4 separate regions of the Mus musculus genome follow, and regions 1, 3 and 4 are each reported to be linked to region 2. Evidence: microRNA targets listed by miRTarBase, many of them from high-throughput screens and not tested one by one. Region 2 holds a microRNA gene; each other region holds the end of a gene's coding sequence.
Evidence for each region. Region 2 holds the annotated microRNA mmu-miR-3089-5p (UGAGUUCAGGGACAGCGUGUCU, at 1,466-1,487, shown strand). A microRNA usually pairs through its seed, bases 2 to 8, with sites in the 3' UTR of a target mRNA and lowers its output. Matches are read on the target gene's strand: a 7mer-m8 pairs with bases 2 to 8, a 7mer-A1 pairs with bases 2 to 7 and ends in A, and an 8mer does both.

Region 1 (3,178 bases), not on the chromosome of region 2:
AAGCCCTCTGCTCAAGAAGCCCCTTAAATAGGCTATCTCGTCTCAGCAATGCCGGCTTTCCCCGGGGAGGGATGGGGGGAGCTTGACCGCCTCCCTACTGCGGCCTCCAGCTTCGTCCCTACCTGAACCCCAGCCAACACAGGTGTCTGTGTCTGGTATGAGGATCAAAACCACTAGGAAGAAACCCCACACCCTGCAGGATGACATCTATCAATGACAAAAGTGTTAGAAGGTTCCCTTGAGGGAGACAGAAGAGCTTACTCTCTCAGGCTCCCAGTCCTTTCTTGTTGCTGGAACCCTACCACAACTCCCCCACCCCCACCCCCGGGAACCCCCACCCCCACCCCCGGCAGGATCCCTCCATGCAGGAGAAAGCCAACCAGAGGCCCTGGGAATTTGACTTGCTCAGGGGAGTTCATTTGAACTGGTGCTGAAGGCAGCCCCCCTCACCAACCACACTTTCACACTGCCTCCTCCAAGATTCTCATAAGCTAGGTGGGTAGGGGTGGCGAGTCAGGTCAGGTGACTTGTGGGAGTTCTTTTGAGGCCACCATAGTATATGGTGGCAGAGCGATGGAGCCCTGCTGTGTTGTCCACAAGGGGCTGAAGGTGGGCAGGGCCCGAAGTTGCCTAGCACCCCCACCCCCCCACCCCTGCGCACTCCCTCCAGGCTAACCTGGCCTTCCAAACCTGCTGTTGCTTGGGAGTTGGAGTGGGCAGGCACAGCCCCCCCCTCCTGTTCTCCCAGCCGCAGAACCAGGGGTCAAGCTGGAAAGCGGATGTTTTTACTTTAAATAAAGCACAGTTGCCCCCCCCCCCCCAATACATACACTATCCCCCAGGAAAAACCTCTGGTTTCCACAGAGAGTCAGGAGACTGGCCAAGTCCCTTCCACTTCAAAGAGCTCTTGGCCTCCACTTGGACTCCAGTTCCCAACCCTGAGAAGCAGTTTCATTTCCATAGCCGGTTGCCTTAGCTTCTTTGTGTGTGAGGGGCATTTTGGAAGCAGAAAGAGGGGAGGCCTATAAAGAGGGCGGTGGGGGGGGGGAGGCTCTGAGCAACTGCCTGGTTCTAGGCCCCTTCCTCTACCCCAGGTACCCTCAGCCTAGGGGAGCAGGCTCAGGTGGAAGGGACTGGTCTTGGGCCCCATGTAGAGGTACTAAAACCCCTGGGTCTAGCACATACCAGCCAGGTGCCTGAGCAAGACAGGGCCCTCAGGCCAAACTGTAGCCCCACAGAGTCACCTTTGAGCACACACCAAGCTGACCCTCAAACTTGCTAGCCAGGCAGGGAACAGACTGTGTCGCCCAGGGCTGTAAGCTGAGACCCCTGGGATCCCTGTCTAAGCTAGATGCCCCTTCCCTCCATTCAGCAGAGTGAGAACTAGTGGCTCCGTGTCACAGCCTAGCAGGGGCAGCTACGGAACCACCACGCTGCTTCTCCCGAGTGGGGATAGGGCACTCTGTGGGAACCACCACGCTGCTTCTCCCGAGTGGGGATAGGGCACTCTGTGGGAACAGTGTCCGGCCCCTCCCTCTCGCTTCTCCACCCCCTCCACCCCAGCCTTACTCCACACCGTGCAGACAATCATTTTGTATGGGTTAAGAGCCACGTCGTCGGAAGGTTTTATACAGTGATTTGTTACCTAGGAACGCACTGTGCCCAGATTTCTGGTGTGCCAATAAAAGAGCCTCTGCTTTATAGACCCGGCTGCAGCCTTTGATTTCCAGCTTGTTAGTGGGTGGGCCACTACTGACCCCACATGTTCCCACCATCCAGCCTTAAGGTCACCTGCCCAGTCAAAGAACTGACGAGACCCTGTGGGACTCTTCTGGTACGTGTGAAATAACTCATCTTTTATTTTTGGAAACAACAAAAAACAAAAACAAAAAACAAACAAACAAAAAAAAAACCCCAACAGTCAAGTCTCTTAATTACAGCTGAAGGCAGTCAGGGAGTGAGTGGCACTTTTAAAAGGCTGGTCACAAGCTGGACAGTGGTGGCACACACCTTTAGTCCCAGCACTTGGGAGGCAAAGGCAGGCAGATTTCTGAGTTCAAGGCCAGCCTGGTCTACAGAGTGAGTTCCAGGACAGCCAGGGCTACACAGAGAAACCCTGTCTCCAAAAAACAACCAACCAAACAAACAAACAAAAGACTGGTCACACTACTTGTAAGACCTCCCTGGGGAGGGTCAGTCCCCCCAACCCCCAGCTCCCCTTGAGGTAGGCACAGAGCCCAGGCTGGCTCCTGTTTTGCAGACGGGAGAGCCAGAGTTTGGACCACAAAGCTCTAGAAGTGTTTAGATCCACAGTCCAACATGGCAGCCACCAACTAGGAAGGGCAGTGCCTGCTGCTGTCAACTCGACCTCTTTCCTCTGGCTGACTTGACACGGAAGCTGAGAAACCCAGTCTTGTTTCCACGTGTGGAGTCTGTTTTCAGGCCACCCTGTAGGTACGCAGGACCCCACAGAGAGTGGAAGAGCCAGAGAGGGAACTGCAGGGCTGCCCAGAGCCCAGCAGGCATGGGGGCTGACTGAAAGGCTGCCCTCCCCCCAGAGCCTCCGGTGTCATTTAGATCCCATCATTCCTACCCGGGATTGTCCCCAGCAAAGCCAGCCTCCAGATCCCCACACTAAGGCTGTTAGGTGCCGGCAGTCAGGACCTTCTCACCCATGCAGAGCTCTGCCAGTGACTATCTTCTCAGGAGATCCACGGGGACCACAGAGGGTCCCCCTCCCCACACCTCCCCCTCAGGAGGCTAGCAGAATCGCCCCCACACCTCTAGGCCAAGCAGCTTCAGTCACGCCTTCTTCAGGTGAATCACCCCAAACTCTGTGAGCAGGACCACAACAAGGAAACAGATGTAGAAGAGGAGGAGGCAGAGGCCGTAAGCCTTGCTGAGCTGGAAACACTGAAGCGGCACGGAGACCAGGGAGAAGATCAAGCTGAGGCCCAGGGCACTGGCCAGCACCCACACCAGTAATCCGTCTGGCTCCAGCTGTGGGGAGAACAGGAGTTGTTTAGTCCCCACCCTGGGAGCCTTCTGGGCCATGTGCACCATGAAGGGAGTGTTGGGTCCTTGGTACACAGCTATGGGGTCTGCCACGTGGTACTGTCTCTATCAGCGTCCACATCCGCCTGTTTGGGCTTTTCTTCCTGGCCTCCCGTGTTAGCAG
Region 2 (3,178 bases):
AACTGGGCACAAGGCAGTTCCAGCTCCTGGGAGTGCTCTCAGGTCAGTGGGCAGCACAATGGCACAGCCTTGTTCTGGCCTTCACGGTGACTCCTGGGAGTCTGCATGGAGGCCCTGGGAAAGAGGACAAAGAGGTTGCCTTGGTGCTTGGGCCGAGAGGGATTCACTTACGGGGGGGGGGGGGGGGGGGGTGTGGGCCCAAGTCACTTCTCCTACCTCTAGGTGGTGTCAGGCTGGGAAGGCACCTCAGAAGCAGGAGCTGGGTTCACAGAGTGAGACAAGCCAGAGACAGCTGGCCCACAGGGCTCGCAGGCGTGGCGAGCCATAAAAAATGCATTGGGTGCCCCCAAGAAGGCTGAAATATCAGGGACTTAGGCAGACTGGCTGTGTGTGTGATCTCAGCAGGGGTCAGAAGTGTCCTAGAGAAGGGTGCATGAGGATCTACTGGGATGACTAACTCAACTAATGCGAAGCCAGGGAAGACAGGACTGGCAGTCTTCAGGCCTCAGATCCAAGTGGTCTATCAATTCCTGCCTCTGGAAGGTTTGGCAGGCTTTTATGGAGCAGAGAGAACAGGTCTCCAAAGCTCCCAGAGGCTAGGAACTGGGGGCTGAACTCAAGCTTGGTTTGTGCCATGGTGGAAGACCAGCCTAGTGCAGATGCGGGAGGAATCAGAAAGCTGTCTGGGCTGGCTATGTGACAGGGAGGGCTGGTGCTGTTCAGGAGGCAGGGGACAACTCACAGGAGCAGGCTGGCAGCTTCGCATATTTGAGGGTCTGGTAGAGATGGCTCAGAGCGCCAGGTGAAAGGAAGACCCAGTGGGGAGGGCTGAGGGAGCTGCAGTGGCATTGCAGAATATGCTAGAATCCTGGTGGACCGGCTGATCCCGGTGGGTCTGCAGTATAGGCAGGGGAATCAGGTTTGTTATGGTAATGGTGCAGAGGGAGAGAGGAGGGTTCTGTTCCTATAATTGAGTACTGGGAGACACAGCAGACAAGACAGTGTGTGGCCAGCAGGGCTGAGCCTCGGGCAGGCCAGGCCGATGCCTGGAGCCTGGGAAGGTCCTGGGGACAGATCAAGAGGCCTCGGGTGTGATGTAAGGGCAGGTATGCATGTTTCTTGCTCTGAGGGCCTTGTCTCTAATTGAGAAGGATTGAGAGGGACCCAGCTACCCCTACCCAGTCACTCTGGAGCCCTGACCAGCTTCAGGCCTTTCCCCAGCAGTAGGTTGGGACTGCTCATTACCTCCACAGGATGTAGAAGGTGCCCACCCACCAAGTCACTCCCCACCCGGCCCCCAACCCCAACTGCTGGCAAGAGGAGAGCAGAGTTGAGCACACAGTAGGTCCTTTCCATGAGCCTAAGCTAGTGGGTAGAGTTAGAGCTACAGACTGGGCTGAGAGCAGAGCCCCTGCCCAGATGCCCTGGAACAGGGAGATAAGGGGAACAGCTGGTGGCTTGCAACTGAGTTCAGGGACAGCGTGTCTCAGTTTCTCTGTCTGAGCATCTGCTGATCCTGAGCTGTGTTTTTAGCTGCAGAAACCCAGGGCCTTGAGGCTCCACCCCTACACTCTGAGCACCACTGCTGCCAACGCCAAGGGGGTCTCGGGAATGGCAACTGAGAGGAGGGGGAAGGTTCTAGGACACATATGGAATCCAAAGTGCTCATCTTCCAGCTCTGAAGGGCCTGCCACGGCTAATAACAGTCTTCCAGCCAGGCAGTGATGGCACACACCTTTAATCCCAGCACTCAAGAGGCAGAGGCAGGAGGGTCTCTATGAGTTCAAGGTCAGCCTGGTTTACAGAGTTAGTTCCAAGACAGCCAGGGCTGCACAGAGAAACCCTGTCCTGGCGGGGGAGGGTGGGCTTCCCATCAAAGCTATGCTGGCCCTGCCCTCTCACCTCCTCCCAAGGGTGAGAAGAATAAGGCCCAGATCTAAAGGACAGACCTGAAGCCACCCCACGGCTGACTGTGTTCTCTGAGCCCCCACCCCTAACCCTATCTACAAAGTGCCTGGCTCCTTGGAAGCAGAGGAGGGTAGGTGTCAGGCTGTCATTCCGTGACCCAAGGCTCCCCATCAGTATGACAAGGGTGTAGGCTAGAGCCCTCTAAAGTGGACAAGACCCAGACTTCCCAGCATCCACTCTGAGAAGCCTAGCTCAGAAGAGTTGGCCAGGGCCCCAGAGCTGCACCTCCTGCTCTGTCCCCATCAGGCATCTCTGAGCTGTGAGGAGCTGTCCCCTCAACAGTGCCTGTGGAACACAAAGAGGGGGGGAGCCCAAGCAGAGAAAGAGCCGCGGGCTGCAGGCGGGCAGGCAGGCTCAGAGCGGCTCTGCTCCGCTTTCTTCTTCCTCCCTCTCTCTTTGTTAAGCTCCTTTTCAGCTGCACAGGCAGAGCCTGGGTGTTCCGAGCTGACAATAATTGCTGCGTCTAGACAGTGTCTGGTAGGAGGCCTCCTTCTCTGTGCCTGCCGGCCTCCCCGAGGCTCCCAGGCCTGGCCCACAGCCCCTGCCCGGCACCCTCAGAGGGTTCCCACACCCCTGCCTCTCTGTGGATGCCATGCCCACCCCCCACCCCCCAGTCTTTCTGCCTCCTAATTCAGTTGGGAGTACAGCTCTGTCCTCCTACCCTTGGGTCCAAAGGCACCCCAGTCTGTTCTATTTTGTGGCCTAAAGTTCAGAAACAAGACACTGTCCAAGAAGCACTGGTAATGCCAGAGGCCTCTGAAGGAGCCAGAGCTCAGCGTAAGGCAGGTGGCTGTGCTGCATAGGCCAGGGAAGCTGCCTTGCTGGGTGAGCTAAGCCTGGACCCTCAGGGTTCAATTCTAAAATTTGATCTAGGTTCTTCTAGAGTTTTCCAACCCAAAGCCCAACAAAAAGACACAGGAATCAGTGTAAGGAAGACCAAGCATTTCCCAGACCACTTTAGGCTGATGGGGATCCGTGTTTTCAGGAGGCTGGGGAAGGAGAACAAGAAACAAACATTAGGAGTTCTGAGATCTGTGCTCAACTCAGCCCTGAAGCTCTGGAAAATTCCCCAGAGTCTCCTAGAGGGTGTTGGGGCAGGCACTCAGGGTGCCACAGACAGCAACAATAACAACCAGAATCTGCTCAGCCCTGGCCCGCTCTGAGCGCAGAGCAGAGCCGACTCTGCTTGCATCTTAATGTGCTTAACCCC
Region 3 (3,178 bases), not on the chromosome of region 2:
GCGCAGATGGGAATATGCATGTGTTTCAGACTTCCAATGCAGTCCAAATTCAGAAGGTAGGTTCCCTCTCAAGATGGCTGCTGGTTACTGCACAGTGAGGTCTTTGGGAGTTACGTGAATTCCTTTTCCAAAGCCGGGTCACTGCTGACTTTGGAGCTCCTATATATTAAGGCTATCAGTCTTCAAGGTCCAGGAAACTGCAATAGCAAGCTCTTTGTCCCTTTCTGTGTAGTATGTGTGTGTATGTGCAGGGGTAGAGGGGAAGGCTGGGGATTCAGCCAGATGGTAGATGGTACTTTCTCTTGGTGTTGTTGCAGATCTCTGGTGTTCGGAGAACCCCACTAAGCTCCTGATGAATCAATCCCATGGTCACCTGCAGTCAGTTACTTACTTCAGTATACAGCTGTAAACCTGTTGCTTTGAAGCAGCCATCTTCCTGCCAAGAGTCTTGGTTTCTATTTAAGGAGGGGGGGGGCGGTGTTCCTTATGGATCTGGAACTCACAGTGTGGACCAGGCTGGCCTCATGGTCACAGACACCTTCCTGCTTCTGCTGTGCTAACGATTAAAGGTATGCACTACCATGCCAGCTTATTTAGAATTTACTATGTGTGTATGACCATGGGCATGTACATGTGTCAGCACACACATGCAAGGCAGAGGACAATGTGTAGACATGGTTCTCTTCTTCCACTGTGGTTTCTGGGGGTTGAAGACAGGTTATCAGGCTGGTGTGACAAGGGCTTTTACCTGCTGAACCATCTTGCTGGCCCAAGATTTTTGTTTTTTATGGTTATAGTTAAGATATTAATTTTTTCTAGCTTTATGTCAATAATTTCCCATAAGTGTTAATTTTTTCAAAATGTTAATTATAGCTTTCTATATGTGTGTATATTGTATAAATTTTCTACTATGTGAACTGAATAAAACCCCTTACATATACAGATATTTCAACCTTTATTATCAAATAACCTCTTTGTTACTGTATAGATACCTGTATACAGATGGGTGTATATATCTGTGTATGTGTGGGCAGATGCCAGAGAATGGATGCCCTGCAGCTAGTGTTGAGGTTACAGGCTGTGTGGATACTCTTGACACTGTGCACGGGCACTGGGCTATCTGAGGTTACAGGCTATGTGGACACTCTTGACACTGTGCACGGGCACTGGGCTATCTGAGGTTACAGGCTGCCTGGACACTCTTGACACTGTGCACGGGCACTGGGCTATCTGAGGTTACAGGCTGCCTGGACACTCTTGACACTGTGCACGAGCACTGGGCTATCTGAGGTTACAGGCTGCCTAGACACTCTTGACTCTGTGCACGGGCACTGGGCTATCTGAGGTTACAGGCTGCCTGGACACTCTTGACACTGTGCACGGGCACTGGGCGGTCTCAAGTGCTCATGCTCGTCCAGCACGCACTTTTACTCACAGACTCATCTCCCCAGCGTCTCAAGTATCCTATCATATCTCTTGAAAGGACACATGGAAATGCTTTATAGCCATCCAGGATAGGAAGGGATGTAGAAAAGTGCGGGAGGGAGACAAGGCTATCCACAGGCTGGACGTTTTCTACATTGGATCAAGAGCTGGAGACAGTTTACTATGTTCTCCATATGTATTAAAACCACTTCTATCGGGCATCTGGTGATCTTTCAGGATAACATCTGTAATCCTAGCACTTGGGAGGTGGAGGCAGGGGGATCAGGAGCTCTAAGCTAGCCCTGACACATAATGAGTTCAAGGCCAGCCTAGCCTAAATGAGACTCTATCTCTTTTTTAACAATCCCATTAGTGAAAAAGATTAAAAGAGCACGTAGGCTACAGCGGCAGTCAGCAGGTAACAGCCAGCCGTGCTGCAGTCAGAGTGATGGACTTGTTCACCCGACATCACACAGCACTGGCCAGTAGCCCAGAGGGGCAGCCTCACTCATCACAGAAGCCACTGGCTGAAATTCAATTTTTATTCCAAATGTAATGTCTAGAAATACAACAGCTAATACTCAAAATGATGTGCTCAACTGGAAAGCAAAAAAGCTGATGTGTAGGGAGTGGCCAGCAGGCTGCCAGCCTCGACCCTCTGGTTATGCCCAAGAAAGCATAAAAATGACCGGTGCTCCTCTTCTAACCTGGAGGTGGGTGCAGCAGTTATAGAAAGCAGGAAAAGAGAGAACGCCACATGATCCCAAGCTTTTGAGATGAACAGAGTGGAGAAGACTTTTGGTAGCAAAATTTTCACAATTCTTAAAATGGGAGTCTTTAAAAGTTCTTCAAATTTAAAAGTTTAAAACAAAAACAAATGTGGAGAGGGGCCAGTCACACTGGTTTAGAAGAGCTGACGCCTGTCATGAGATTGACAATCAGTCCGACTTCCAGAAGGGTGAGGACCAGTGTGCCCGACCAACGAACCCGAACTGATTGTGCAAGAGCAGGGTGGTTCGGCATCTCAAGCCCCATCTATGGCTCTTCCTGGCTGAGGCCGAGGCGGCCTTTCTGCACCTCTAGCTCCTCCGCACTGACCACTGACGGATCGATGGCAGCGTACTTGGTTCCATGGAACTGCAGCAGATGTATCTGGAAGAGTGCAGATTACTTTAGCTGTTGTGAGGGTTTTGTTTTATGCTGCTGGGATTGAAGCGAGGGCTTCGCAGTGCTATACAAAGGCTCCACCAATGGGCGACCCCTATCTCTAGTCCTGAATCTTTCTGAGATTATGTGGAGGGCAGAGAGCAACATCAGTGTCACTCTTTAGGGGGCCCCTGTCCCCCTTTTTAAAAATTTACTTATTTAGGTACTTTATGTATGAGTGCTGTTTTCTTGTTCACCAGAACAGGGCACCATGTGGTTGCTGGGAATTGAACTCAGGACCTCTTAAGAACAACCAGTATTCTGAGCTGCTGAGTCATCTTTCTAGCCCCTGAGGGCTCCTTTAAGAAATTACAATTTACTTTGTATATGTGTGGAAGTCAGAGAAACTGTGGGAGATGACTGTCTCTTCCTCTGTATTTTTCTGGCACTGAACTGGGTAGTCGGGCTTGGTGACAGTTTTTACTCACTGAACCACCATTGGCCGTCCACCTGTCTTCTGAGATAGTCCCTCAGTGGCAGCAAGCTTGGTAAGTAGGAGAGGCTGCTGGCTGGTTGGTCCCAGGGTCTGCCTGTTTGTCCCTCCCCC
Region 4 (3,178 bases), not on the chromosome of region 2:
ATTCATCATATTTCATTTTTATTAGGTATTTGCAAAAATGTACAATTTTTAAATTAGCCCTTGATGAATTTGTAAATTCTCCACGTGTCTTTGGTTTTTGCTTATTTGATTTGACTAAAATAGTTCTGGTATGCTCTAGGTGTTCTGGGCATTGCAGCTAGTGATTGTCCTGCTTCCTGGAGCTATTTTCCACCTGTATGCTGCATGCAAAAGCATCAATCAAGACTGCATTCTTCAGAAGCCCGTGTACACTGTGATTTACGTCCTCTCGGTCTTGTTAAGAATCAGCCTGGAGGTGTTCGCATTCTGGCTTCAGATTCACCTCTTCGGCTTCCAAGTGAAGCCGATATACTTGTGTGATACTGAATCTCTTGGTAAAAAACCAAATATTCTAAAATGCATGGTTCCAGAGCACTTTGAAAAGACTATTTTCCTCATTGCAATGTACACATTTACTGTGATCACGATGGTATTATGTGTTGCTGAGGTTTTTGAGATCATATTTAGAAGATCATGTTTTCTCTTTAAACGATGACCGGGTTGATAGCCTATTACCATACCATAGTTCCTATCAGTCATTTATACTTAATTTTCCCATCAAGTATTTCAATTCCAAATGTTCTTTAAACTTTAGTGTGTCTATAATTTATGTATACTAGAAAATAGGATACCAAGTTCTAAACTAGGTGTTTTTGAGCAAATATTTCCTCCTATTGTAATGGTATAACTTATTATGTAATAATGTACATGTAAGCCTAATGATAGCTCTTTTTTTTTTTTCCCGAGACAGGGTTTCTCTGTATAGCCCTGGCTGTCCTGGAACTCACTCTGTAGACCAGGCTGGTCTCGAACTCAGAAATCCGCCTGCCTCTGCCTCCTGAGTGCTGGGATTAAAGGCGTGCACCACCACCACCAACTGGCGATAGCTCATTTTTTAAAATACTAAATGTACAGGCTTCTCTCATGTACAATACTTTAAGTGATCACCTTATTTTTGGCCAAAGAGACTTCTTATGTAGATTAAAGACTGGAAATTTGATGTTCAGAGATGATATTTATGTGCCATGTCACACAACCAAACCAGAATTTACCTCTTTCCCTACACACTGAAACATGTGTCTTTAACTCCAAAGACATAATTATCTTTGCATTTGTGTAAAATATACCTTTAAACACAAAATATAAATTAATTAAAAGTCATATAATTTAATCACTAACTCAAAGAAGGCAAGCAATTGAATTTTTAAATATTAAAACCCATATTGTTTTGCTGGAATCAATATTAAATGATTATGGAGATAGTTGCCGAATAAATTAGAGTTGTTATGAATAACACTGTGTATGGCTTCCTTGGTTTTTGTTGTTTCCATACATCCTCTGCAACAATTAACTTTCATATTAAAAAGTACTGAAATGGAAATTTTGTTTCCATGAAACTATAATTCCTCAACAGTTTTGGCATCATGCCATAGGAAACTTTGCAGAATATCAGAGTACTTCTTTCTATTGCCTGTATTATCAACAACCATCCTCAGCACGTGTCATTTAAAATCCTGTATGTCCTAATGCTTTATGCTGGCCAGCACTTTGGTAGGGAGCCACACAGAGTCAGATACTGAAATTTTGGAATTTTTATTAAGCACTGTTTAGCTTATACTTGATATTAAAAATTCTGTATTAGGATTTTAAAAACCATTGATATAGCTATACATAGAAGCACAGAAGCAAATCCAACTTTGTTTCACTGAACAAATAGCTACGGAGGACCTATTATTTAATGTGTACTACATTGCTAGGTCAAATTTAAAGGCAAAAATTGGTAAACAGAGGAGGTCACATTCTATTGTCCAATGATACATCTAGAGAGTAGTGACCTGTCATAATGAAAGTAAACTGTAAATAAAATAAAAATAAGGTATTTAGTAAGTGTCTAAATATTTCAGAAAATCACTGATAAATTTATAATAATCCATGGAATAATGAAGACAAAGCATCAGAAATTAAAATGTACAATAACCAAATGATACTGAAAACAGAATTTACTGGAATTTGTTTAAAGAATTAAAACAGTGTTTGGAAGCCTATAAAAATTCTATATTATGTCACTAAAAATTATAAATATATTTATCTTCTCACTTTAAGAAATTATCAAAACAACTAGCTAAAAAGATTAAGTAAGATAAGGATGAAACTAAACACACAAAACATAGAAAGATGAAAGTTAGGAGAAAACGGGTTAAAAGAATCTTGCTAAAACTATTAAGTTTTCAGTTACACAGTTTTAGATGATGAAGGAAAACAAATCAGCCTTATAATAAACAAAAAGTGATAGACACCAACGTGATTATAAGAGTAGTTGACTAATTAACAGTAAGTTTAGTGAGATGAAGAAAGTCTTTGAAACCCATATTACTTAGACAGGAGAAACTGATAAAATACATAAAATTACAAATATACTTAAGTCTATTTTAAAAATTCAAATTCAAGTCCCTTCCATAAGGAAAATTCCACATCCAGACGGCCTCTGGTGGAAATCGTCAGATGTCTGAAGAAGAGCGAACACTGCAACATCTCTTTAGGAAGAAAGAAAAAGGAGCCTCCTAGCTTCTTAAGCATGATTGTGCTGGGATGATTGGAAAATATTTTTATTTTATTTAATTAGAGCAGCTTAATTTTGTATCATAATTTTGGTGTCAAAATTCCCAGCAAAAAATAAGCAAATGTAAGCCAGCTATGTATGTACAAATTAAACAGGTTGGGTTTATCCTGGAAATTAGAGACATTTTATAAACACTCAAAGGGAATTGATGTGCTTGACCTGTGTTAAAAGAATAAAGAAGAAACCACATAGCCGTCTTAGCAGATGCCAATGAAAGAATTTGATTATATATAACAGTCATTCCTGATAAAATAAACAAAATCAAACTTTTCACTTAATATGAAAATTACCTAAATTTGATTACATATATACATATACACACACAAATACATATACACATACATGAATGAATCTTTGGAAACACCACATAATATTGAAAGAATGAAAAATTTTCCTCATGATTTCAGCAAGAGAAAAATTTCCCCTTTTACTGTTTTGGTTTAATTTGAACTGTAGCTCATTAAAGCAAAAACAAACAAACAAACAAAAGTATATATGCTGAATGATTTCTTCAATAAA

Region 1: miRTarBase lists Slc8b1 as a target of mmu-miR-3089-5p. Seed matches in the 3' UTR shown: 7mer-A1 at 2,081-2,087 and 8mer at 2,052-2,059.
Region 3: miRTarBase lists Spg21 as a target of mmu-miR-3089-5p. Seed matches in the 3' UTR shown: 8mer at 1,739-1,746.
Region 4: miRTarBase lists Gje1 as a target of mmu-miR-3089-5p. Seed matches in the 3' UTR shown: 7mer-A1 at 820-826 and 7mer-A1 at 849-855.

What each region holds. Positions count from the first base shown.
Region 1 is chr5:120,532,682-120,535,859 of GRCm38, reverse strand. It overlaps Slc8b1 (solute carrier family 8 (sodium/lithium/calcium exchanger), member B1), which reads right to left. Exons shown (of 16, transcript NM_133221.2): 16 at 1,836-3,000. The coding sequence ends at 2,803. It overlaps Tpcn1 (two pore channel 1), which reads left to right. Exons shown (of 28, transcript NM_145853.2): 28 at 1-1,703. Among named protein-coding and RNA genes, the nearest start is that of Slc8b1, 23 kb to the right of the region's middle.
Region 2 is chr2:30,719,757-30,722,934 of GRCm38, forward strand. It overlaps Mir3089 (microRNA 3089), which reads left to right and starts at 1,454; the gene lies at 1,454-1,537. It overlaps Gm14488 (a long non-coding RNA gene), which reads right to left and starts at 1,431. Exons shown (of 4, transcript XR_866106.3): 1 at 217-1,431; 2 at 1-114. Gm39782 (a long non-coding RNA gene) reads right to left here. Exons shown (of 3, transcript XR_866107.2): 3 at 1,807-2,957.
Region 3 is chr9:65,486,232-65,489,409 of GRCm38, reverse strand. It overlaps Spg21 (SPG21, maspardin), which reads right to left. Exons shown (of 9, transcript NM_138584.2): 9 at 940-2,577. The coding sequence ends at 2,461. It overlaps Ankdd1a (ankyrin repeat and death domain containing 1A), which reads left to right. Exons shown (of 15, transcript NM_001370871.1): 15 at 318-939. The coding sequence ends at 409. Among named protein-coding and RNA genes, the nearest start is that of Spg21, 27 kb to the right of the region's middle.
Region 4 is chr10:14,713,776-14,716,953 of GRCm38, reverse strand. Gje1 (gap junction protein, epsilon 1) reads left to right here. Exons shown (of 3, transcript NM_029722.2): 3 at 140-1,328. The coding sequence ends at 535. The region is part of intron 1 of 1700016L04Rik (RIKEN cDNA 1700016L04 gene); the gene reads right to left. Among named protein-coding and RNA genes, the nearest start is that of Gje1, 2.8 kb to the left of the region's middle.